Cricetulus griseus: one gene and its partners. The protein of the gene in region 2 interacts with the protein of the main gene of each other region in a biochemical or structural test. Links are inferred from orthologs where the notes say so. Each region holds a gene or a part of one and is shown on either strand. Other genes may lie near its edges. The genes, in order: Mark1, microtubule-associated protein tau, Fyn, Casp6, Lck, Mapk13 and Tuba1b.

Evidence for each region.
Region 1: of the proteins of microtubule-associated protein tau (region 2) and Mark1, one has a biochemical effect on the other in vitro, tested with the Homo sapiens proteins (4 studies listed by BioGRID). The link is inferred for Cricetulus griseus from reciprocal best matches to the Homo sapiens genes MAPT and MARK1.
Region 3: of the proteins of microtubule-associated protein tau (region 2) and Fyn, one has a biochemical effect on the other in vitro, tested with the Homo sapiens proteins (10 studies listed by BioGRID and IntAct, with this or other methods). The link is inferred for Cricetulus griseus from reciprocal best matches to the Homo sapiens genes MAPT and FYN.
Region 4: of the proteins of microtubule-associated protein tau (region 2) and Casp6, one has a biochemical effect on the other in vitro, tested with the Homo sapiens proteins (2 studies listed by BioGRID). The link is inferred for Cricetulus griseus from reciprocal best matches to the Homo sapiens genes MAPT and CASP6.
Region 5: the proteins of microtubule-associated protein tau (region 2) and Lck form a complex in vitro, tested with the Homo sapiens proteins (2 studies listed by BioGRID, with this or other methods). The link is inferred for Cricetulus griseus from reciprocal best matches to the Homo sapiens genes MAPT and LCK.
Region 6: of the proteins of microtubule-associated protein tau (region 2) and Mapk13, one has a biochemical effect on the other in vitro, tested with the Homo sapiens proteins (2 studies listed by BioGRID). The link is inferred for Cricetulus griseus from reciprocal best matches to the Homo sapiens genes MAPT and MAPK13.
Region 7: the proteins of microtubule-associated protein tau (region 2) and Tuba1b form a complex in vitro, tested with the Homo sapiens proteins (2 studies listed by BioGRID). The link is inferred for Cricetulus griseus from reciprocal best matches to the Homo sapiens genes MAPT and TUBA1B.

Annotation. Positions count from the first base shown.
Region 1 is NC_048598.1:9,725,744-9,730,011, reverse strand, and holds the start of Mark1 (serine/threonine-protein kinase MARK1), read right to left. Parts: upstream 2,801-4,268; 5' UTR 2,676-2,800; coding exon 2,616-2,675; intron 760-2,615; coding exon 556-759; intron 1-555. UniProt on the Homo sapiens protein: Serine/threonine-protein kinase. Involved in cell polarity and microtubule dynamics regulation. Phosphorylates DCX, MAP2 and MAP4. Phosphorylates the microtubule-associated protein MAPT/TAU.
Region 2 is NC_048600.1:117,356,253-117,359,752, forward strand, and holds part of microtubule-associated protein tau, read left to right. Parts: intron 1-892; coding exon 893-974; intron 975-2,159; coding exon 2,160-2,272; intron 2,273-3,500. UniProt on the Homo sapiens protein: Promotes microtubule assembly and stability, and might be involved in the establishment and maintenance of neuronal polarity.
Region 3 is NC_048595.1:262,034,638-262,038,137, forward strand, and holds part of Fyn (tyrosine-protein kinase Fyn), read left to right. Parts: intron 1-296; coding exon 297-461; intron 462-811; coding exon of another isoform or gene 812-967; intron 968-3,266; coding exon 3,267-3,446; intron 3,447-3,500. UniProt on the Homo sapiens protein: Non-receptor tyrosine-protein kinase that plays a role in many biological processes including regulation of cell growth and survival, cell adhesion, integrin-mediated signaling, cytoskeletal remodeling, cell motility, immune response and axon guidance.
Region 4 is NW_023276806.1:28,997,363-29,000,124, forward strand, and holds part of Casp6 (caspase-6), read right to left. Parts: intron 1,743-2,762; coding exon 1,567-1,742; intron 1-1,566.
Region 5 is NC_048595.1:23,478,236-23,482,349, reverse strand, and holds the start of Lck (tyrosine-protein kinase Lck), read right to left. Parts: upstream 2,801-4,114; 5' UTR 2,795-2,800; coding exon 2,690-2,794; intron 2,269-2,689; coding exon 2,187-2,268; intron 2,022-2,186; coding exon 1,931-2,021; intron 1,652-1,930; coding exon 1,553-1,651; intron 1,288-1,552; coding exon 1,184-1,287; intron 918-1,183; coding exon 768-917; intron 520-767; coding exon 367-519; intron 237-366; coding exon 57-236; intron 1-56. UniProt on the Homo sapiens protein: Non-receptor tyrosine-protein kinase that plays an essential role in the selection and maturation of developing T-cells in the thymus and in the function of mature T-cells. Plays a key role in T-cell antigen receptor (TCR)-linked signal transduction pathways.
Region 6 is NW_023276806.1:233,879,500-233,882,531, reverse strand, and holds part of Mapk13 (mitogen-activated protein kinase 13), read right to left. Parts: intron 565-3,032; coding exon 456-564; intron 295-455; coding exon 265-294; intron 1-264. UniProt on the Homo sapiens protein: Serine/threonine kinase which acts as an essential component of the MAP kinase signal transduction pathway.
Region 7 is NC_048595.1:395,400,751-395,404,984, forward strand, and holds the start of Tuba1b (tubulin alpha-1B chain), read right to left. Parts: upstream 2,801-4,234; 5' UTR 2,702-2,800; coding exon 2,699-2,701; intron 1,367-2,698; coding exon 1,144-1,366; intron 1,007-1,143; coding exon 858-1,006; intron 738-857; coding exon 1-737. UniProt on the Homo sapiens protein: Tubulin is the major constituent of microtubules, protein filaments consisting of alpha- and beta-tubulin heterodimers. Microtubules grow by the addition of GTP-tubulin dimers to the microtubule end, where a stabilizing cap forms.

The DNA of each region.
Region 1 (4,268 bases), on a different chromosome or scaffold from region 2:
TGCAAGCCAACAATCCCAGCATTTAGAAAGTGAAGCAGGAAGACCCACATTTCAAGGTCAGCCTCAGCTGGGCAGCAAGTTCAAAGCCAGTCTGGACTACAAGAGACCCTGTCTTGACAACCCTCACTAAACAAACAAATGGTATTTCAGAAGTAAATTCTCTTGTCGTCTGAAAAATTATCTGTATAGTAGTAGCTTGATGTTATCTCCAACCAGATAAAACTTAGTGAGTGGTTTTCTACACATTTACATCTAACTTAATCTAGGTAGTGACTCATAGAAATGCAGAGTAGCAACAGTAACCAGGCGTGTTCACATAAGAGATAAGCTTCAGCTAATCTGCAGCACGCCTGGTCTATGAGATGCTATAAAGTAGAGGCAAGTCTTTCCTTGGTGTTAAATGGTGAGGAGATCTGCCATGAAACCGACCTGGCTGCAAATGTTCTGTGTGCATAAATTCCAGTATGCACCAGGCACAGGTGCCATTCATTCCCCAACATCAACCAAGACTCTGGAGCAAGGTACAGGCAAATATCAAAAGGCATGGAAACTTACCTCTCTGCCTGTTAGAACATGTCTTGCCAATTTCACTTTGGCAAAGTTTCCCTTCCCTATTGTTTTCTGTAAGCGGTAATTTCCGATGTGAGGCTGTTCATCTGGTGCTGACGTAATGGAGTTTCTACACCGGGGAATGTTCTGTCTGCTACTTGATTTGGTAGGCTGGATGTGTGCCTCAGTATATCCATCCACACATGTATGCTAGGGAAAAGCACAAGAGGTCATGATCACTTTGATTATTATAAAAGGACTATTAAAAGACTACAAATAATGCTCACTAACAGTTCATCTTTAATGAAAGTACACTATTTTAAAATGTGAACACACTTTATCATTGCTTCCCAACTTAAGGGCCCTTACCAGTGGGTACAACACTTAAAGTAAAATTCTCTACACATCTTTAAGTCTGTATTTTGATTTTCAAAATCAATAGGTAGACGGATTGCTGGTTAGCACACAGAGCACTATACCATTTTAGGTTGAGTGACATCGTCCATGGTTACCACCTCGCTAGAAGGGCAGCATCCTTACTACCACGACAAAAATTCTCACAAATACGGTTGTTCCTCTGATCCAGGGCTGCATGCTCTTTTCTACGGCTTGACCTTGCCCCTCCCCGCCTCTCTCTCTCTGTCTCTGTCTCTCTATCTCCCCCTCCCCACTTTGTAGGGGACAGTGTAAGCCATGCCTGCTAGAAGCTGGCTACAGGCATGCCTGGCTCCTTTTATTTCTTACTACCGCTTCCCTTTTCTCATGTACACTAGTCTGGCATCACATCATGAGGGGTAAAAATGACCTCCTGCCTCCACTTCCCGAATGCTGAGGCCACAGCAGTGCTTTATGTGGTGTGGGAATTCATTTGACAGGATGTGGGAGACAAGCCTCTTGGCATACCTTTGAGGAATTACCTGAATGAGATTCATAAGGGTGGGAAAATCCACCTGAACTAAATAAAAAGAAGGAAGAGAGCTGGGCACTGGCATGCATTGCTCTGCTCCCTGAGTGGTTGTGGATGCAGTGATGACCACTGCCTCATGCTTTTGCTAACATGCTTTCCTGCCATGATAGGTTGTATTCCCTTGAACTGTGAGCCAGAACACACCCTTCTCTCCCGTGTGGCTTCCTGTCAGACATCTGTCAGAGCAGTGAGGAGAGTAGCTAATGCTCACTGTAACCCAGGACATTACAAAGATGCACCTGTGTGCATATGTGCTGAGAAATGGTGTTAGGAAAAACGTTCAAGTCTTTATTTCCCATAATTAAACCATTTTCTGTAAGGTAAGAAAAGTTCATGTACACAGTAAAACACTCATCCTTAACATACAAAAGTCTCAACTCTAAGTCAGTGTTTCAGGCAGCACTTTTTGGCACTGTGTGAAGTGACGATGTGCACAGTACAACATGTGGGTGTTGTGTGTTCAAAACCAGAGCTTCAGTGAAGTCACACATTGTGAAATATATGTATGAATGCTGCCAAAGACACCTTGGATTCATTACATGTTTGACTGTAAACTAATACTTGGGCATTACACTACAATATAAACTATTGGTAAACCATCACGTGTGTTTGTACTTGATGGCAGTGGATTCTAGGACCAAGGTGGGCTCCAATGTCTGGGATTCAAGCCTGTTCTCTCAAGAGTCCTCTGAGACTCATTGTCCTGGGCAGTTGGCTCCCTGGCCCTGTTATAGGGAGGGAGGAGAATTGTAAACAGCTAAGGAATTAGAAGTGCTATGCACAGGCTGGAGAGCATTTACTGCTTTTGAAAAGGGCCCAGGTTTGGTTCCCAAGACCCTCACCCAGGGGCTCATAACTGCCTCTAACTCTAGCTCCAGCTACTTTTGTCTTCCACAAGTACTGTACTTGCATGCCCAAACCCCCACATAGACACACACAGACACAGACACACAGACACACAGAGACACACACACATATACACAATATGTAAGAATAAACTCTTGAAAACAAAACCACACTGTGTCTGCCCTTGAGAACAGCTCGAAGGTGAACCACGCCCTTCGGAGGTCAGTACCGATCATCCCATGGTATAAAATACCTGTGGTGACAACACGAAGCCACAGTTCATCCATAGACATCCAGTCGGAAACTCCAGCATGACTGTTCAGTGGGGTTTCCCAGTCATTTCTGCAGGAGCTTGTACATGTTTGACTTAAGATGCTTTGCCGTCTACCTGCTGCTGGTTATTTGTTGTTCTACATGGAAGCCTCACCCTCACCAGAGGGCAACAACTCTGCTCTGCCTGGGCCTCTCAGGCAAAAACCCCAGCTTGCTGCCTCAACCGGGCTTCCTCAGCCCTGTCTGTTGGAAGCTGTGAACACCTAATCTGATGATGTTGGGTCTGCTGCTTGCTTCCGGCTCTCTCCCTCTCCCTTGTCCTTGCAGTTGGACTACTCCAGCCATTTTTGCCAGATCTGCTAAGCGCCCAACTAGATGTTTTATTATCTGCTCTTTTACTCTTGTTAATAAACTCACTTATTTGAAACCAAAAGTGCAGTTACCGCAGACCACTCCCTGAATAGAGCATGCACACTCAGAAACGTTTCCCTGTGGTCAATCCTGGGAACTTCACATTTTGTATGTAACCCTGAATGTCATGACCCACAGGTTAAGAGGGTGGGTTCTAAACTAACCAGGAGCTTGGGCCAGTCACTCTCCACTCTTCCTTATATTGGCCAGGCATATAAAAACAACTGCCAAACCAGCTGCCTGTTCCAAATATACCCCTAATCAATTCCTGCCCCACCTCCTCACACAACTTACTGTGTCTGAGAGAGAGAGAGAGAGAGAGAGAGAGAGAGAGAGAGAGAGAGAGAGAGAGAGAGGAAGAGAGCTGCTTATCCATGGAAACACTTAATTGTTGGGCGTCTGTGTTCTTAACTGGGGAGTGGAGCTAATACTAACGAGGCTCTTTACGTCAGGACTATCTGAGGACATTCTGTGGATTCATATGAAGGTCCTTAGGACAGTGCATGATGAGCACTGTGTTCACTAGTGGAAATGATACAAACAAAGGGACAAAAACAGTCTACCTTATACCCGAAGTGACCAACCCTAATGCCGGATTATCTGGTGCCTGCAACCAGCTCCTAAAACTCACCTTTCTTTTCTGTGAGCAACTGAAACCATTCTGGCTAGCTCAAGTAGAAAGGATATTTTAAGTCTGTAAGTAGCTGAAAAAAAATTCCCCCAAAGATGAAGTGAAACAGGTAAGAATGAGAAAATAGGGAAAACAAAGTAATTATAAATAGTACTACTGTCTGAAAATGAAACAAGGGAGGGAGGGTGCAGCAAGGGCTTCCTTAGGTAGGATGCCCAGAATAGGTGGCTGTCTGCTCCATCTGGAATATGATAAGGAACAGAAACAGTGCAAGAACTTTCAGGCAGTGAAATGGGAACAAAACCTCCATCCAGTCAGGTGTGCTTGGTGAGTTCATGAAAGGAAGGCACAGATGAAAACACAGAGGCAAAAACTGGGCTTCTTTGTCCAAGGCTCACATCTTGAAAATTCAGTTGTCCAAAGGCAAAACCAAAATTCCTACTACAGCATCCAGATGGTTTCTAGTCACAGACATGAATTCCTGCACAACTGACCACACTAAGCCAGTTAAAGGCAAGGAAGGCACAAGACTCTGGCAAGTCGGTAAAGAATTACATGTGAAACAAGCCTGTTCCCTAACTTGAATTAATA
Region 2 (3,500 bases):
TTTCCCTCACTGGAATGACCCCACTCGTGGTCTATATAGGAGACCCATGGGATTTGGAATTAGTTAGTGACCAGCTATCTAACCTATAAGACTAGTTCTGAGAGACTGGCTCCCAGGAGCCCCTTCTACTGGGGTGGCCTCCTCCAGGGTGTCCTCTCAGGAAGCAACTGCCATTCCCCAGAGCAGGCGTCGTTGCTGGGTCACATGAAGGACCTCTTGGGCAGGCAGGTCTCCCTGTGTGTCATGTCTACTCACTCATGCTTGCTGAGACACTAAACCTGTGGTTTCCACTGTGTGCCTGCATCCTTGTTGGTGTTGCTTTGCTTTTTCAGTAGAGGATGAAGTGTGCAGGAGACTGTGTGCCCAGACACCATGTGACTTTTACCCTGAGTCATAGCACTGTCCTGGGTCCTGTTTGCCAACTGGTGGTCAAGGACTGAGGGAGCTCCCTGGATGAAGCACTCCCATCTTGTCGACTCTTCTCTGAGTCCTTTCCAAGGAGATCATCTGGAGGCTGCATAGGCCGTCACTTCTTCCTCCACTGTGTGTGATGGGTCTTTCCTCAGTTAAGGATTTATGTTTATATGCTTAATATCTAAATAGAGATCATGATCACACACAGGGACTAGGCACCCTGCTTTTCCATGAGAGTCTCTTGGGTTTCTGGGATTGAATATGCTCAGGTCCCATAGTTACTTTGTGAGGACCTAGTTTCCTGGGGGACAGGGATTGGCTGGATTTGGGGAGCATATTTTCCTCCCTGGGTGGGGTATATCCAGTAGTTAATGGGAGCCACTGACAAGTGGTCCTTTGGGCTTTGCATTGTGTTACACCCCCTAGTAACATAACCCCCTTCGTTTTCTGTCTCATTCCCACCCCCTCTGACCTGCAGGTGCAAATAGTCTACAAGCCAGTGGACCTGAGCAAGGTGACCTCCAAGTGTGGCTCATTAGGCAACATCCATCACAAACCAGGTAGCCCTTGAGGAAGGAAGGCTTTGGGACAGGAAGGTGCTGGCTAGTCTGGCAGGTGCTTCCTGGAACAGGCTAACCTGAGCATTGAACATTAAATGTGAAGGTGCTGTGTGGCCTGGGAAATGTGACTGTCTCTGCTGGCTCCTGAGCAGGGTGTTTTCAGCCTAGACAAGGGGTGGAGAAAAAGGAGAAGCTGGTCCTAGATTCTATCTTGTGGCTCTCCAGCAAAGTCTGTAAAAGAGGACCAGCCATGGACTGATTGGGCCCCCAAAGGCAAGCTATATGGATGTCTCAGGCTTGTCCCAGCCAGCATGGGGGGACTTCATCAATGGCTATAATGTAAGATCTTTCTGGGCTGCTGTCCTACTCTCATGGTGACTGTTTAAACAAAGCACCCTTCCCAGGAAAGCAGTACAATTCACCTCCCCTCCTGCCACACCCTGGTGTGGTAACCCAAGTCAAAGGGAGAGGAGTAGGGTCTCTCCTCATTGTACATTTTTTTAAATTTATTTATTATGTATACAACATTCTGCTTCCATGTATATCTGCACACCAGAAGAGGGCACCAGATCTCATTATAGATGGTTGTGAGCCACCATGTGGTTGCTAGAATTGAACTAAGGACCTCTGGAAGAGCAGTTGGAGCTCTTAAACTCTGAGCCATCTCTCCAGCCCCTCATTGTACATTTAACATGCAGTACGATTCCAAGGTCTTGAGGGGCTGTGGCTTACAGGATGTTCATATGAAAATCTCCACCGCTGGAAGGCATCCAGTTTAGAACTCAGCATGTCTTCCGCTGGCCAAGCTTCCTGTATCTTTGAACCATTTCAGGAGGAAGATTTTGCAGAGTAAATACCTGATGAGCATCTCGATTAGAGATGGGGCAGGTGATTTGGCACCATTACAAGAGCTCCCTTGTGCCTAATTCTCCTTTTAGATATAGTAGAGCTCTGACAACTCCAAGAAGGTGGGCTGTTCTTGTGATCACTGGCCAGCCTCTGTTGGAGTCAGAATGGGCACATTAGTGAATGTTCCCCTCCAGAAGGGTGATACCTGACCTCTTTTTTTTATCAAGCCTTCAGAAGCCCCAGGCACTTTGCTCTGCAGTCTGTGACCTCATTTAATATATGCTAAGTCCCCCAGATCACAGATGACAAGAGGCTCTTGTGTGGGTTGTGTTCCAGGAGGTGGCCAAGTGGAAGTAAAATCTGAGAAGCTGGATTTCAAGGACAGAGTCCAGTCGAAGATTGGTTCCTTGGATAATATCACCCATGTCCCTGGAGGAGGGAATAAGAAGGTAAAGAGGGACAAATGGGGGGCACATGGGGATATGGGGGTTAATGGAGTGGACAAGGCTGGTCCTAGGGGGTCCCATATGGACTACCTAGAGGTAGATTCTCCCCCTCAGCTCAATGTACCAAGAACAAGGCACCAGACCAAAGGCAGATCTTTTCCACTAATTACTAGAAAGCTAGAGCAAAACAGTGACTCTGGCTGAGGCTGTGGCTCAGCTGGTAGAGTGCTTGCCCAACATGCACAGAGCCCAGGGTTCCATCGCCAGCACTGCATAGACTGGGCATTAAACTGCCATCCCAGATGGAGGTAGGAGGATCAGGAGTTCAAGACCACCCTCAGCTACATATTAAGTTTCAGGTTAGCTTGTGCTACATGAGATTCGCACCAAACAGACAGACGAAACCCAGGGTTCCTGCTGGGCAATGGTGGTGCACACCTTTAATCCCAGCAATTGAGAGGCAGAGGCAGGTGGATCTCTGTGAGTTCGAGACCAGCCTGGTCTACAAGAGCTAGTTCTAGGACAGCCTCCAAAGCCACAGAAAAACCCTGTCTCAAAAAACAAAACAAAACAAAAACAAAACAAAAAACAAAACCCAAAACAACACCACCACCACCAAAAAAACAGGGGTTCTGAAGAGAAGTGTTCACACTGGGGCTGCTGGGCCTCGAATTCCCAGCTGTGTCTGGTCTCCAGGCTGAGGAGAATATGTGCAGGGTATGGGAACACAGAGGTGCGTGGCTCTAAGCAAGCTCCTCTTGCACCTAACACAGGGTGTGACTGTAGGGTTTTTCCTCCAGCATAAACAACCTCCACACCTGCCTGGCCCCATATTGTGGAGGCAGCCTCCTCTGCAGGGTCCTCCCAGCAAATGACTGAACAGAGGGAATGGCCTGGAATCAGACCCAGCCTAGCACGAGAAAGGGTACTTACCCAAGGTGGCTCAGCTGTTTTTCTACTTGGCCTTGTTGGATGGCCCTTGGGATTCCCCTGCCTGGCGAGTCCCCACGGCACCCTGCTTTCTTCTGCAGCCATGTGTCTGCATCTGCTGCTTATATAAAGCCCCTGGTAGTACTATGAAGCATCCGTTGGACTGCTGAAGTGCCCAACACATGGCTGCCATTTCTGTCACACACCACTCAATTGAAATGCAAAGCCTCATACATACTGCTCCCATATGGGGTCTATTGGCCCCCGGGTGCCACAGGGAGTCAGTCACAGGCCTGGTTCC
Region 3 (3,500 bases), on a different chromosome or scaffold from region 2:
AGAAGGGAAAGGGGCAGCCACACATTTTATTCTTACGTATGCACTTTCTGAAATTAGCAAGGGCATTTTCGGAATCTCAGAATATGTATGCTAGTCCATTAGATTACAGTGCACAGAAACCAAAGCATTCTGCACCTGTGTGTATGGGGCACGCCCAGGGGACCATCTGAAATGTGCTCATCTACCTCCAGTGAATATGTTTGCTTAGCTTATGTTGGTCAGATCTTCTACAGCCTGTGCACACTGTTGTTACATGTTCTGCTCTTCTCTCCCTTGCCTCTGCCCTGCTCCTTCAGAGAGAGCCGCAGGTCTCTGCTGCCGCCTAGTAGTCCCCTGTCACAAAGGGATGCCAAGGCTTACCGATCTGTCTGTCAAAACCAAAGATGTCTGGGAAATCCCTCGAGAATCCCTACAGTTGATCAAGAGACTGGGAAATGGGCAGTTTGGGGAAGTATGGATGGGTATGCTGAAACTCAATTTCTCTTTCATTAGCTTCCCCGTTTGGGAAATCCCAAACGTCAAAGATGGAAGGTGACCATGAAAACGGACAGTTTGAATTGCTCAATTTTTATTTTTAAAAATTTGTAATTTCTCAAAAAGATAGACATGAACAAGAATGACAGATGGCTTGGGCTATGCTATAGCTGGTGGAAGGACTATTCCAGCCTGCATAGTGTCTTACCCTTCATTGCCAGCTGCAAATATTGGCTGAATCTTGCCCTTAGGGCAAGTCACCTTCCACCTTTCCTAGTGCATGCATGATTATGGATTATAAGGACTGTGTTTTCTTTATTAATTCCCTTTCCTGTAGAGAAAGCTGATGGTTTGTGTTTTAACTTAACTGTGATTTCATCAAGTTGTACCCCACAAACTTCTGGATTGTCTAAAGATGCTTGGGAAGTTGCACGTGACTCGTTGTTTCTGGAGAAGAAGCTGGGGCAGGGGTGTTTCGCTGAAGTGTGGCTTGGTAAGGCAGAGGGCACATTCTGTTTTGGCTGCATCTCAAAGCCGATGAAAAGGACAGTTGTGAACAGAAATGCATATGTGACCACTGAGACAAAGACCCTTGACCTGTGTGACTCGATGGGCATCGAGCCCAGGTTTGCAGAATGTGGTGGCACCTTGCTGTGTTCATCTGTCCTATTTCATGTGGCTCATAAGCACCTGCACACAGGAAGCCAGCACACTGCCAATGTGGGGCTTTCTCTTCCTGTGAGATGGGACGGTAAGATTCTGTGTGTGGGCAGCTATAGAGAAAGGTCATGGACTTCTGCATGGCAAGCCTGGCTCTAAACTCTTGCTGGATAATTAAGCATAAAAATGGGGCCTGTTTAACACCTCTGAGCCTCAGTTCCTCATCTGTAAAACCAGAGTCACTGGATTATTTTGAGGGTTATATAAGACATGTTTAAAATCTCTTGTAGATCTTAGATCCATGCATATCTTTCTTCATTTGGTTGTCAGTAATGCCGACTGCACTGGGCCCTTGAGATGGCATTTATAATCCTGTGGATCAGATGCACCTTGGCTTATAGACAATCCATAGACTTAGATCCCTCCCCAAAACATCTGCCCATGAAAGTGTACCGGAATCTCCCTTCCTTAGAGTCTAAAAGGATATAAAAAGGTACATCTGGTCTTCCGGGATGGCCCACAGCAAGAGAATTCATGGAATCAAAATGCTTGAAGCATAGCAGGTAGCATGCAGAAACATAAACAGATGCACACATGGATGATGGATCACACACACATGCATGTATGTATGTTAGCTGTCGTTCATTATGCATATTACAATAGTGAGTCCATATTAATGTGCCCATCCCTGTCTAGACTTTATCTCAAGTGTTATAAAATCTGCTTATATAACTTGTTTCTCATTATCTACCCAACTTATAATTGAAGTTGTAAGTCCCAAGGAATTTCTTCAGATCCTACAATCAGGAAGAATTGGACTCCATAAGAAATTTTATCTTCAAACAGTTGAAACTATCAACTTTAACTCATCATTACACAGAGCACCAAGGTGTTGTTTCCCATGGAACGGAAGAGTTGGGATAGAAGTCTAGACAGTTACCAAGCTGCTAAGAGAGGAAGGCTGCACAGTGCTTAAATGAGAAAACATTAACAGTTAAATCATGGAGGCTACTTAAATGTTGTCCAAGCTCCCATTTACACTGAGTGGCAGATATTTTCTGAGATAATTGAGCTCTTTACGCCACTTTCGTTGGTTTTTTTTTTTCCCCCTCTGTGGGATGTATGTTGTAACTATGTTTTAACAGAATAATAAAATGCTTTGATATACAGGCTCCTTGCTTAGATCTGAATGTCAGATTCCATATGAGTAAATCTTAGTTTGAACCTATATTCTCTTTCAAATTGTAAGCAATATAATCTAAATTAGCAGAGTTTTATTTTCCCTTTAAAAATTATCCTCCAAAGTCATCAGATAGAAATCAAGTAAGCCAGAATTTTGTCTTTTTTTTTTTAATTTGAGAACCAAAAGAGAATGAGAAGCTAGTCCATTGCTGTATTCTACAGATGAACTAACTGATAGTGGATGTAAACCAGGCCTCACCTTTGGGTTAGCTAGATTTTTAAAGAAGTATTTAAACATAGCACATTTAAATACTTCTCTTCTTGCCCCGCTGCTGTTTGGTTTTGCAGCTCACCTGCTAGAAGTCATTGTTCTTGTAGTGACTCCTCAGAGCCTGAGAGATTTCCTTTCCTGGGGAAGTATGGGCAGGGAGATGCTGTGTTCCTTACCTGTGCTTATGAGCACATACAGAATGACTGCTGAAGGACTCGGTCAAGTAACTCACCCAGGGCAGACAATGAAAATCTAGAACCAGTTTCCAAGCATCCTCCGTGTGTGGCCATGTTTTTACGAGGCACACCCTCTAAGATGGAATTTAATCTCATTTCTTCCAGTCTTTCCCTGTTATCTAAGGGACAGCTGTTGGATACCCAGGCCAACTCTAAATCCTAGACTTTCATCACTTAAATGAGAGCCCAAAGCTTTTTTAAATGTACATTCACAATTATATGGATGAGCTAAAAAAAAAAGAGTGATATATATCAAATGGGAAATCTTAGCGAATTATTAAACAACTATAGGTAAACTCAATTTTTTCTGTTGACATACATGACAGAGTCCTTTGCAGTTAATTGTTTTTGCTTGTAAAAAAAAATTTAAGATTTTTAAAACTTGAAGTCTGATTTTATGAAAATAGTTTCTGGGTTGACTTTCTGTTGTGGGACATTTGTAGGTACCTGGAATGGAAACACAAAAGTAGCCATAAAGACTCTTAAGCCAGGCACAATGTCTCCAGAGTCCTTCCTGGAGGAAGCACAGATCATGAAGAAGCTGAAGCATGACAAACTGGTGCAGCTCTACGCCGTGGTGTCTGAGGAGCCCATATACATCGTCACGGAGTACATGAATAAAGGTTGGACAGCGCTCTCCCCCTCCTCCTCCTCACGCTGCCTTGCAGCTTGCAGGG
Region 4 (2,762 bases), on a different chromosome or scaffold from region 2:
TTCCCTGGTAACGTTTCCTTTTAGACAATGTTTATAACCTGTCCCCCAGTAAACCAAGATATGCTGATAGTATATCCTTCTTTTTAAAAACTGTCATGATTACCTAAACATTTTGATTCAATCAGGTAATTATTTCTGAAGGGTGTTTTCTCGGTCTAGTTTCAGTCATAATTTGTCAATAGTTGAAATAGCATTGTCGGACTCAAAAAGATACCTATCCATAAGCCCTCAACTTCTGTTTACAATATGCTTTTCGATGTTTAAAAATTAAGTATCTAAGGTGGTGGCACTCACCTTTAACCCCAGCACTCAGAAGGCAGAGGCAGGTGGGTCTCTGAGTTCAAGGCCAGCCTGGTCTCCAGAGTGAGTTCAGGATAGCCACAGGATATCTGCATGGGGAAACCCTGTCTTGAATGAACAAATGAACTAATTTAAGTTTCTTTGTGAATGTTCAAAAGTGAGTGCAGATGCCCCCAGGGTTCAGAAGAGGGTGCTGGGATCCCTGGAGCAGGGATGGAAACTCAGTGGCTTTGCAAGAACAGCAGGAGACACAGTTAATCCTAACTGAGCCATTCCTCCAGCCCTGAGCATTCTCTCTCTGTCTGTCTCCCCCTCCCTCTCCTCTCTGCCTATCCCCACTTTAAAGTGAATTCTAAATTTATAACTATTAATTTCGAGTCAGAAGCTAGCATTAAATTCTCCTATTTTCTAGTTTGAGAGCCTCACGTTTGCCAGGCAAGTGGTCTGCCATGCAGCTAAATCCCACTCTTCAATGTGACAAGCTAAACTACTCTGCTCCACCCTGAAATTTACTTGTTGAAATCTCCAGGACCAAATAAATATTTTCTCATGCTCGAAACGTTTGCTTGTTATTTCTGAAACTATTTGGCAGCTTGGCAGTGAGCTTGGGGAAGTGAAAAAGGGATGAGGCAAGGGAGGGTTGCCTGCTTACCCCTGTATCACTTCCACAGGCTTGCATGCACTCCAGCTGCCACAGACCTAAGCCCAGGCTGCCTTTGCACGGTCCTGGGTGATCAGGTCTTCCTTTCCATGTGGCAAGTCCTCCACACCCAGCCCAGCCTTGCCTGTTTTTCTCTTTTAGACAGGGTCTAACTGGTAGTAGCTCTGACTATCCTGGAACTCGCTCTGTAGACCAGGGTGGCATCGAACTCACAAAGATCTGCCTGCCTCTGCCTCCCGAGAGCTGGGATTAAATGTGTGCCCCATCATCACTTGGTTTAGTTTTTTTGTTTGGTTTTTGGTATTTCAAGACAGGGTTTCTCTGTGTAGCTCTGGCTGCCCTGGAACTCACTCTGTAGACCAGACTGGCCACAAATTCAGAGATCCAGCTGCCTCTGCCTCCCGAGTACTGGGACTAAAGGTGTGTGCCAATACCTCCTGGCTCAAAATACTCTTATAATAAATGTTAACAGCTGAAAACACAACTCTATTAGACCAGGATTCAAAAGGGACCTTTCCAATTATTGGAGAAACTTAGAGATTGACTTTTTAACCATTATAGTCAACTGAATTTTATAATTAAAATAATGATATGATCAGTCTTACCTGAATGATAAATATCTTGGGTTTTCCAACCAGGCTCTGACACTTGTCTCCTTTGAACAAGCCAGTCAATGTCTGAATTTCAATTTTGGCGTCATATGCATAAATGTGGTTGCCTTCGCCGTGGCTCAGGAAGACACACAGGAAGCAATCAGCATCTATATGGCTTGAGGTCGACACTACAGATGCCCCGCAAAATGCATGCAGAGGTGAAAATAAGAGTATGTTATCCACATGTAGAACTTCAAGTTATGGGCATTAAAAAAAATACACTTACAAAATAGCAGGAAAAGGGTGTACTTTTTAAAATAAATACAAACATCCTGTAATAAAATACATCTTTATCCTTTCTTCTTATTTTTTCTTAAGATTGGGCCTCATTCTATAGCCAGGCTGGCCCTAAACTTTCTTTCTAAATCTTGGTTGTTTGAGACACTCTTGCCTAAGAAGGCTGGCCCTAAATATCCAGTAATCCTCCACCCCCAGACTCCTGGTGCTGGGATTACAGGTGTGTGTCCTACCATGGCTGGCTTAAAAACTAATTATTAAAGTTTGAAGCAATTTCACTAAAGATATTAGCTCTTCAGCCAGTCATGGTGGTGAAGGCCTTTAATCTCAGCACTCGGGAGGCAAAGGCAGGTGGACCTCTGTGGATTTGAGGTCAGCCTTGTCTACAAAGTGAGTTCCAGGACAGCTAGGGCTGTTACATAAAGAAACCCTGTCTTGAAAAGTTAATATCAAGTACAGAAAAATGATTTAGGAAAAAATGGGGAGGCTCCTTTAAGATCCAAGTTACTTAATGATACAACAAAAACATCACAGACCAACATCCCGAAGGACCATGGATACAGAGATTCTCAGTAAAATGCTTGTAAGATGAATTCAACAACAGATGAAAAGAAACACATACCATGACCAAGTTAGCTTAACTGCAGGATTATAATGATGGTTCATCATATGCAAATTGACTCAAAGACAAAGTACATCATTGCTTTGAGAAATGAAGAAAAAGATGTTGACCAAGTCTAACCTCCTCTCCTGATGGAAGCCTTGAAGAAACCAGAAGCAGAATGCAACACCACTCAGGCTACTAGTGACAGACCTAATAGCAACACCACACTATAGGAAAAGCAAAGCATTTCCTCAAAGGACAACAGAACACATGCTCCTCCAACTTTTACTCAATAGGGTGTTTTTAA
Region 5 (4,114 bases), on a different chromosome or scaffold from region 2:
AAGACAGTGGACGACAACAGCGCCTTCAAGCGGCTAGACATAGCAGGGACACCCACCGTTCTCCATGTATTCTGTGATGATGTAGATGGGCTCCTGGGTGACCACTGCGTAAAGCCGGACCAGCCGCTGGTGCTGCAGCTGTTTCATGAGGTTAGCTTCCGCCAGGAAGGCATCGGGGGACATGCTCCCTTGCTTCAGGCTCTTCACTGCCACCTTCGTGTGCCCGTTGTAGTACCCTGGAGGTGGGTTGCGGGTGAGGGAGTTGCAGAGATCCCTGAACTAGTCGCTGCCCTGAAGAGGCCAGTGTCTCACATCTTGGTGACATCTCCTCCTCTCTTTCCAATCAGTTCTGACCTCCACACTCACCCATCCACACTTCCCCAAACTGGCCAGCTCCCAGGCGCTCAACCAACTTCAGTGTCTCCCTGGGAACCTCCCATTCATCCTCCCACCACGGCTTCTGGGGCTTCTGGGTCTGGCAAGGACGGCTCAACTTCGTGCACAGCCCATCAGAGGCATCTGCAATGACAGAGGAGAGGAGTAAGGCGGTCACTGCTGGAGACCTTGGGTGCTCCCTCCAGCCCCTACCTCTCTCCACGTTCGGCACAGGGGAAATAGGCCGGCATGGGAGGGGAGCCTGTCACCCAACGTTAGCCTGCAGGGTGGAGGGTCAGGTACTGCCGATGCTTGGAGGGTCCCTAGGAACGACTTGGGGGGAGATAGGCCGCTAGGGTGGGTACAGGTGAAAACGCTCTGCCATTGCTCACTGGTGTAATGGCGGACCAGCTCGTGCAGGCCGGGAAAAGTGATACGAGGGGAGATGTAGAAGCCACCGTTGTCTAGGTTGCGGATCTTGTAATGTTTCACCACTTCTCCCTGGTTCTGGTCGAAGTCTCTGACCGACAGTGAAAAAGATCCTGAAGAAAGATTGGAGACGGGAGGAAGGAAAAGAGGAGGAGGAGGAGGAAGAGGAGGAGGAGGAGGAGGAGGAGGAGGAGGAGGAGGAGGAGGAGGAGGAGGAGGAGGGAAGTTGAAGAGGAAAAAAAGAGAGGGAGAGAGAGGATTGCCTTCGGTAAATCAGGAGGCCACCACCCCCGCACACCTCCTCACCGGGAGGTGATGGCCCTCAACTCGAAGCCCCGCCCACAAGCAGAGGCCCCGCCCACAGGGTCCTGCCTCTTACCCGCGGTGCTTTCACTTTCCCGGATCAGGAAGGATCCGTGCGTGTTCCCAGGCGCCAAAAGCTGCCGCTCAGCGTCCTTACGGCTCAGATTCTTGAAGAACCAGCTACAAAGAGCAGAAGAAAGACCATTGGCTGTTGGTCGACTCTTTTTTTTTTTTTTTTTTTTTTAAATCTGCAGCCTTGGTTGACCTGGAACTCAAAGATCTGCCTGCCCCTGCCCCTGCCTCCAGAGTGCTGGGATTAAAGGCTTGCCTGGCTTGTTGGTCAATTATCCCTCCATCACTGGCAAACATCCCCCACCCCCAAGACCACGCCCTTCTTTGAGATCCCTAGATGTTCTCCTCCATTCCCACACGGTCCCGTGCTCACGGTTCAGGCTCCAGGCTGTTTGCCTTCGCCACGAAGTTGAAGGGGATGAAGCCTTCTTGGCCGGTGGTCAGGGACTGAGCCTTCCACCACTCACCGCTCCTGCGCCACAGAGAGACCATCAGCATGGCCTACGTAGGCCCTGGAAACCCTCAGAGTTCCCAGTTAGGCCAGGCCACCACTCCCTGGTATGATCATTCTAGTGCTTTCTACCTTATTCCAAAAGCCCTCACCTGAGGCCTGTCAGGGATGTAGGAGGGCTGAGGACGGACGGACAGACAGACAGACAGACAGACAGACAGACAGACACACACACACACACACACACACACACACACACACACACACACACACGGCAAGGTGGGTTAGAAGGATACTCACTGCTCCAGAATTCGGAGCTGTTCACCCTTCTCAAAGCCCAGATCTCCATCATGGGAGGGTTCATAGCTGTGCAGAGCGATAACTAGGTTGTCTGTAAAGACACGAAGAGTCAAGAAGCAGCAGCCCAGGGCTGACGGGAACAATGGAGTTCAAGGGGCACAGGGCAGGATGCAGACAAGGCTGAGGGTAGGTACAGAGGGTATGGACACCAACGGCCAACCATCCACAGGCTTCACACCCTGCTGGATGGAGTCACCTTGCAGCGGGGAGGCTGGTGGGATGGAGCCCTCATAGGTGACCAGTGGGTCCCGAACTTCAGAGCCATTCCGCATGGGCAGCTGTGGAGTAGGAAATGAGGCTTGGGTCATTTTTCTCTGACCCGGCTCCCCTCACCTCTGCTCTTTCCGTTTTTCCAGCCTTCTCTCTGGATTCACCAGCTCTGTGTGCACCTGACCTTAGGAAGGTCCGTTCTGCTCTCTGATGTCTTCCTTACTGTACTCCAGCGGACATGGGTTCTCTATTATTTCCAGTACCTTTCTCTGTGCAACAGCCCTGGCTGTCCTAGAACTCACTCTGTAGACCAGGCTGACCTTGAACTCATAGAGATATACCTGCCTCTGCCTCTCAGGTGCTGGGATTAAAGGCACACACCACCACCACCTGGCTATTTCCAGGACCTTTAGTTATGATTCATTTGCTTTGTTTTTTTTTTCCTCCTGGTCACACAGCCTCCCTTTACCCATTCCGTCTTCCTCTTACCGTGGTCTTGCTGTCCAGTGGAACTATGGGATAATGGCAGTTTTCACACACATCAATGTTCTCCATCCAGTCATCTTCAGGGTTTGAGCTGCAGCCACAGCCCATGATCCCTGAAAGAACGTAGAGAGGCCTGAAGGAGCTCCCCTAAGTCGGTTCCCCCAGCATCAGACATCCTAGAGTATTGCCCTGGAGTTTACAGAACTCCTGAGACTGTCTGCTCTGGGGCTCCCATTGGCCATATAGAAGAGCCAGAGCCAAAATGTGGGATTCTAGATCCTGATTTGGTTCACTCTGAGCCCTCAAGCAACAACTAAGTTCACAGGAGGCCCAGGCCCAAATCGAGTCCCCACCCTCCCACCTGGGGTGGGCAAACCGCCACAGGCACCTTTGTTAGTGTAGTTACCCACTTCCTGCCTCCTCAGGCCTGCTAGTTCCCTACTTTGGAGGGATTACCTGGGAGACATCACACACACTGGGCCAAGCCCCGGGGGAAACCTAAATTTTGATTTCACCCTCCTCCACCAAGGAGGATGCATGTCCCTATAATTTCAAGGCCGCTGCCTAGATACTGAAGCTGAGAGGCTCCTGTTCCTTGGAGTCAACCTTTGACCTCTGCCAGCCCCCAGCACCCCACCCCCACTCACAGCACAGGCTCCTTCAGACTGTTTCTGCTAACATGCTTTTGCTTCTCACCAGCAGAAGGAAACCCTTCAGTCGCTCTGCTGCCTGTAGCAGCTTTTGCTTGCCTGTCTGAGCTGTGGAAACTTTTGTCAAATGAAGTCAAGCAGAACCTCAAAGACGCAGCAAATGAAGTAGAGCTGTTCTAATCAAGTCAGAGTGGGGACTCCCCCTGAAGCCTCTGGAATCCCTGTCTGTGTACCTCCTTCCCTAAAGCTGTTACCACCTCGGAACTGCTTGGAGAGCATTGGTCCTCAGAGAATGATTTACTATGAGCAGGAGATTCAAATCTTTCTTTTTTTTTTAACGGTAAGTCTTACATATGTAGCCATGGCTGAGCTGCAGGCCTGCATCTCACCATGTAGACCAGTGCAGACAAGGCTGGCCTCGAACTTGCAGAGATACGCCTGCCTGTGAGTGCTAGGGATTAATCAAGGTGTACAATATCATGCTTTTGACCACTTTGATATTAAGGAAGACCTACTACATCTTTCAGTCTTTTTTGTTGTTGTTGTTCTGGAGACGGAGTTTCTCTGTGTTACAGCTCTTATTGTCCTGGAACCCACTCTGTTAGACCAGACTGGCCTCGGATTCACAGAGATCCACCTGTCTCTGCCTCCTGAGTGCTGGAATTAAAGGCATGTGCCACCATTGCCCAGCTCAGTCTTTTAATCTATAGTGACACACACACATACACACACACACACACACACACAGCCCCCCCCCCCCGTACCTAAATACTCACAT
Region 6 (3,032 bases), on a different chromosome or scaffold from region 2:
GACTCTACATCCTCTTCCACCATGTGCCTGTCCTGAGAGACTAAAGTGCCAGCACAGCGCTCAGTGGCAGCAACTCCCCAAAGTGTCTCTCCTACCCCCCCATTCTACTACATCACCTTCTCAAGGCTGAGACATCCTCAGTCCATGTCCCTGAGAACTGTCACTGTACTGCTCCCAATTGACTGGCCAGCCACCCAGTTCCTACCCCACACACTGTGGAAGGACTCCAGGGTCCCTGAGAACTACGATAGAGGAAGTACTCACCCTGTGGACGACACCAGCTGAGTGAATGTACTGAGAGAGGGAGAGAGAGAGAGAGAGAGAGAGAGAGAGAGAGAGAGAGATGAATCGGGGCACCAGCTTCCATGCCAGCATCCTCAAATCCTCCTCTTTCCCACCAAGGGGCTGAGTCTCAGCACTGAGCAGCCCTTGGCCACCATGCAGGCCACACTCACCTTTAACCCTTTGAGCACTTGGTACACCAAGTACTGGACCTTATCTTCGCTGAATTCCATCCCCATGATCTTCTGCAGATCAGTCTGCATGAAGGGCATCACCAGGTAGCTGGAAGGAGGCGGCTTTTAGCACAGTCCCCAGCCTCCCACAGGCCCAGCCTCCCACAGGCCCAGCCTCCCACAGGCCCGGGTGTGACTCCAGAGGGGCAGAAGTGGGCACAACACCAGGCAAGAAGGCGTAAGAAGAGTCAGGTGTGATGGGTCATGCCTGTAATCGCAACCCTTGCAGAGCTTAAGTGGGAGGATTTGCACATGTTAACGTTCAGCCTGCGTTACATGCTGAGGCCCAGGTAGGCTGGTCTACACAACATGACCTTGTCTCAGAAAAACAACGATGACAACACAAAACAGGGCTGGAGAGATGCTTCAGCTGACACAGTGTTCGCTTACACGAGGACCCGAGTTCAAGCTGCAGCACCCACGTACAAAAACTGGGTGTGATGGGGTTCGGTTGTAATCCCAGTGTGGGAAGGTGGAGACAGGAGGATCCCCGGGGCTCATTAGCCTGCCAGCTTGGCTTAATTGACAAACCAGTGAGAGACCCTGCCTCACAAGACAAGGAGAGGGACTGAAGAGATGGCTCAGCAGTAAAGAGCACGTCCTGTTCTTGCAGGGGACTCAGGTTCAGTTCCCAGCACCCACATCAGGAGGCTCACAGCCACCTGGAAGTCCAGTTCAGAAGATCTGATACCCTCTTCTGGACCCTGTGGGCACCTGAAAGCATATGGTGCACATAAACTCATGCAGGAGCGCACGCACGAGAACACACACACACACACACACACACACCTGCAAACTACCATAAGGAAAAAAGAAAACAAGGTAGATAGCGCTTGAGGAACAATACTACTCTGACCTCTGACCAGATGCACACACACATAAATACAGGCATACTTGCATACACACATGAGGCTCCACACACACGAACACAGCCAGGATTTACCCGGCACCCCTGCCACAGCATCCTGGTTGGCGGAGCTCAGGGTGAGCACCAGCATTGAAGCATACTCAGTAAAACCAGATGGCTGTGTTCACACTCCTCAAAGGTACCCTGGCACTGCCCTCCTCCACGCCCGGCTCCCCAAACAGACCAGCTGTGAGCCAGCAGTATCTGCCAGCATTTGCTTCTGCTTCCATCCAAAAGTTTCTCCCACAGGAGGGTCACGCCCAGCCCAGCAGGCTCCACTAACTACAAAATATGTCTTTCCAGGAAGGCAGCAGGAAGCAATCTTCAGCAGGCAGAGGAAGAAGGGGCCTGTGCTATTAAAGCACTCAAGTGGGATTTTGAAACAGGTCAATGTCAACAACCCGGAACTGTGACTCAAGGTGGTAACGGCAAAGTGCAGGACAAACAAAAAGCAACAGATTAACACACACACCATAATATATATTTCTTTCCTTCCCTCTTGAGACAGGATGAGTATCCCAGACTTGTCTCTAGTTCACTACGAGGTTGAGGATAGTCTTGAATTTTCCACCCTCCTGCCTTTGTCTCTCCAATGCTGGCATCACTGGCATACACCACCATCCCCAGTTTATTCAGAGTTAGGGGTGGAGCCAGGGCTGTTCATGCTAGGCAAGTACTCTACCCACTGAGCTACACCCCAGTCCCCTAAAGTGAATGAACACACACACACACACACACACACACACACACACACACACACACACACACACTCACACACCGTTTCTTTGATTTTGAGACGGGGTCTCACCATGTAGGCCTGTCTGCCCTGCAACTGAATATGTAGAAAAGGCTGGCTGAAAACTCACAGGGCTCCACCTGCCTCCTGACTGCCAGGGTTGCGTGTGTATGTATATCTCCTTGCCTGCTTCTTTGCTTCTGTATGCTATTGCTGAGGGCTGGAGGGGTCACTCAGCAGTTAAGAGCACTTGCCTCAGCTAGGCAGTGGTGGAGCACACCTTTAACCCCAGCACTCGGCAGGCAGGGGCAAGTGGATCTCAGTGAGTTCAAGACCAGCCTGGTCTACAGAGCAAGGTCCAGGACAGGCTCCAAAGCTACAGAGAAACCGTGTAGGGAAGGGAAACTGAAGGGAAAAAAAAAGAAAAGAAAAGAGCACTGGCTGCTTTTCCTAGAGGACCCAAGTTCGAGATCTAGCACCCTCATAAGGCAACTCACAACTGCCTGTAATTTCAGGGCACCTACACTCATGCTCGCTCTCTCTTTCACACACAATTTTAAATAAAATAAATCTTTTAGCCTTTCTTCATTCTCCAACCTTGGAGAAATAGTTTTCCCCATCCCCTTTCTCCACTGCCTTCACACACTGTCTCTGACAACCTTGTCATGCAGAAGGCTTCTGTCCTAAACGGCTGGGATCAAGGTCACCAGTGACCATCCGGAGAACAGACTCCTTCCCCCCCCATGTGTCCTTTTGCTAAGTGTCAACTGCCTCACCAGTTTCCATCTGCTCACCTTCTAGTAAACATGGACTCAGGATCAACATCATTGTGTCCCATTTTGCCATGACCTGTCCCCGGGCTTCAGCTATCACC
Region 7 (4,234 bases), on a different chromosome or scaffold from region 2:
ACCTTAGCCAGGTCTCCACCAGGTACCACAGTGGGAGGCTGGTAATTAATGCCAACCTTGAAGCCAGTGGGACACCAGTCCACAAACTGGATGCTGCGCTTGGTCTTGATGGTGGCAATGGCAGCATTGACATCTTTGGGAACCACATCCCCACGGTACAGCAGGCAGCAAGCCATGTATTTACCATGGCGAGGGTCACATTTCACCATCTGATTGGCTGGCTCAAAGCAGGCATTGGTGATCTCTGCTACAGAAAGCTGCTCATGGTAGGCTTTCTCAGCAGAGATGACAGGGGCATATGTGGCCAGAGGGAAATGGATGCGAGGGTAGGGTACCAGGTTGGTCTGGAATTCTGTCAGGTCAACATTCAGGGCTCCATCAAATCTGAGGGAAGCAGTGATGGAAGACACAATCTGGCTAATGAGGCGGTTAAGGTTAGTGTAGGTGGGGCGCTCAATGTCGAGGTTTCTACGACAGATGTCATAGATGGCCTCGTTGTCTACCATGAAGGCACAATCAGAGTGCTCCAGGGTGGTGTGGGTGGTGAGGATGGAGTTGTAGGGCTCAACCACAGCAGTGGAAACCTGGGGGGCTGGGTAGATGGAGAACTCCAGCTTGGACTTCTTTCCATAATCGACAGAGAGCCGCTCCATCAGCAGGGAGGTGAACCCAGAGCCAGTTCCCCCACCAAAGCTGTGGAAAACCAAGAAGCCCTGAAGACCTGTGCACTGGTCAGCCTGTAGGAAAAAAAGAAAAGGCATTGTTTATCAGTAGTGAACAGACTTTACTTATTTTGGCAGGTCCCAACACTCCCCCACACTGCATTTTAAATGAATCCATCCATCTATGGTATTTACCAGCTTGCGAATTCTGTCCAAGACAAGATCAATGATCTCCTTGCCGATGGTGTAGTGGCCACGGGCATAGTTATTGGCAGCATCTTCCTTGCCTGTGATGAGCTGCTCAGGGTGGAAGAGCTGGCGGTAGGTACCAGTGCGAACTTCATCTGGAAAAGGAGATGAAATCAACCATTCACAACAGTAACTGACACACACAAGCTCACTCACTCTTCGGCGGTGTGTGGAGAGGTTCTGAGTATGTGACCAGGACAGAATGCCTCAGGGAAGCCCCTGGCCCACTTACCGATGACTGTGGGTTCCAGGTCTACGAACACGGCCCGGGGCACATGCTTGCCAGCGCCTGTCTCACTGAAGAAGGTGTTGAAGGAGTCATCTCCTCCCCCGATGGTCTTGTCACTTGGCATCTGGCCGTCAGGCTGGATGCCATGTTCCAGGCAGTAGAGCTCCCAGCAGGCATTGCCGATCTGGACACCAGCCTGGCCAACGTGGATGGAGATGCACTCACGCTGTGGGACAGAAAGAAGGGGAAAAAAAAACTATTAGTAATGCCGCAAGCAGCTGGAATTCTAACCATGGCACAAAGTGACAAATCGTTAAAACTCGCAAGCATTTATTAAAAAAAAAAAAAAAGCTAATTTCAGCCTTTCCACACCTAGAAGTGCTTAGTCACACTTCCTTTTTTGAAAACCAAGATACGAAGGCTTTTCATTTACCCTGTGCCCTCAGAGTTCTACTTTTGCTTTGTGCCCAGACTTCCGGACAACTGTAGGCAGAGGAAGCATGTGACTTAAGCAATGAGGAAGGTTCTGGTGGCAGGGCTCTACGGAATGAGATAATGGAGCATTTATTTGTGCATGCACCGAGGCGCCCGGGATGCAGCTGGTTTGCCACTTCCTCTATTTGTAGGCGCTGAGCTCAGCTCCCCCCGCATCCGTCCTGGTCCAGCAGGGAATCATAAGCCGCTCAGATCCGATTTCTGTTACCCTCAAACCCTTCAATGTCACCACCTGGTCCCACACAAATTCCTAACTCGAGACAGCTGAGACTTCACGCTGTTATTGCTAAGTATTGTGGAATATAGTCCGAGACCTGCCCCACATTTCTTATTGCTTTCATTAAAAGCAAAAGGAAAATCGAGGCTGAGGTAGAGAGGGGGCTTAGTATTCGAGGGCCAGGGTTTGCCCCACCGTCCCCCCCAAATACAGGAGACACACCCTAAACGAATTAAGCCCGCAGTGCCGCAGCGCGCACGCGCACACTGCAGAGGCTCTTCCCGCCGCTCTCAGGCGGGAACGTAACGGTCGCGCATGCGTCTTTGTCTCCTGGCGTCTTCCCGCCCCCGCCTTTTCGCACCGAAGAGGAAGTGAGGGCGGGGAAAGGCTATGTGCGCGCGCCCGAAAAGCAGAACGCAAGGGTAGGGTGGGGGCAGGGCCCGCGCGCGGGAAGACTGCAGTCTGAAAGCGCCATGCTGTAAATGCCTTGTGCAGGGCGTGGACGGATGCAGACCCAAGTCCAGCGGGGCCCGGGAGAGCCCCTTCTCCACATCCCGGAGGTCCTCAGGGATGGGCTCATGGGTCCTCAGCATGGGCCTCATGCTCCCCGGCTCACCCAGGGGAACCCGGGACAACCCCATCTCCCCCAGACCCCGGCGACCCCCAGTAGCTGGGGCCCCATGCTCGCCCGCTCTTCCAGGGGTACCCTGGAGAGCCCCTTCTCCCTCAGATACAGGCAGCCCCCAGCAGCCTGGGACCCTTGCTCTCCTGCTCACACACGCTTCAGCCCCAGGCCCCAGCGAGCAGCCCTCGCCTCGCCTCCCTTCCCTGCACCGATGCACTCACCATGGTAGCTACGGGTTAGAAGGCGAAGGTGACAAAAGCAGACAGCGGGTCACGGTTACCGTTCCCGACAGCTAAGAGTCGAGGTAAGTAACGCAATGAGGTGGAGGCGTCGGCTCCAGAGCCTCTTAAGTAGTTGCTGGGGCGGGGCGGGCGCGGCCGGGTGGCCACGGTCCCTCCCCCGGCCGGCCAGGTCCATTGAGCGCCCGGCTGGCCGCCGCAGAGGCGGGCTCGGCTCGCAGTCCCCTCCCTGCATGGGCCCACGGGGCGGGGCAGCCGCCTGGGCGTGCGCCGATGCTGCAGACTGGGGCGCGCCGCTGCATTGCGGGGAGGGAGTGGACGCTGCCGCAGACAGACAAGAGGGTGTGGGAGCCTGGGCAGACTGGCGCAGTCTTGATGAACCGGGGGACTTGAGGGGCCCGCAGTGTTAAAAGTGCGGCATCCTCAAGCGCTGAAAGGTGTGGTCCGGATAACTCAGCTGATCATTCATGTGGCCACACTCGATGAGTGAGTTTTGCCTTTCTCCTTGCTTCCTTTAAAGGCTGTGCTTACCTGCTACTGTGAAAGCCCCTTATAAAACCCTATCACTATACTTAGTATATTGCCATGGTTCATTCTCGAAACTAAAGGTACCTAGTACTGGAAGCAACTTGAATCATCCAAATGTTAAAATAGGGGCGGACTAGGCCAGAGTTTCAGCCTCTAGCTGCCAATTTAATGGGATTGCCCTAAATAAGGGCTCTTTCAAAAGATTTTTAAAATCATTTGAAGTGGTAAGCTAAATCGAAGAAGTGAGGGAAAACTAGAAGGAAAATGTCTCACTGAAGAATACAGACAGCAAGGAATTCTTGTGCTATACAAATTTTCTGAGTGCTGTGATGACCAGATTATAATCAATAAACTACCCTCCCCATTTATTCCAAGGCCATAAACTACTACTGACCTTAGAAATTCATAATGTGATGAAGGCTAACACGTGGCTTTAAACCGCCCTCACGGAACAGATTGCAATCACTCAGCTATTCAAAATGTCCTCCTGGCAGTGGCAGCAGGGAACACAGATCCTGTGCCGGCTGTGCAGCCTGAAACTCCCCTTTTCAGAGCCTCAGGCGCCTCTTAGTCAGGTGCCCTAGGATTCTCCACATAGTGCAGGAAAGCAGAATTCCAAGAGTCCTAGTAAAGGAATGCCTCAGCCAGTTAATTAAATAGGAGAAAGAGCAAACACTTGAAGCCAGGCGCCTAGTGTTAGAAGACAAGGCCCCCAAGTGCTTCAGCAGCAACTATGTAGGTAATTTCGGGGGCTTTGTAGTTACATTGTTTAAAAGAGGTAATGTGGATTGAGGAAATAGCTCAATTAGGACCTGAATTTGATTCCCCTGAACCCAAAAGGGGGGGAGCACTTTCATGGTGGCTTGTGCTTATATGCTGCAGAGACTGGCAGACCTCTGAAGCTCAGTGGCTAGCCAGACTGGCCTTTCTGGGCTAGCTCCAGGTCCGTTGAAACCATGTATCAAAAGCATACAAAAAATGTATCCACAC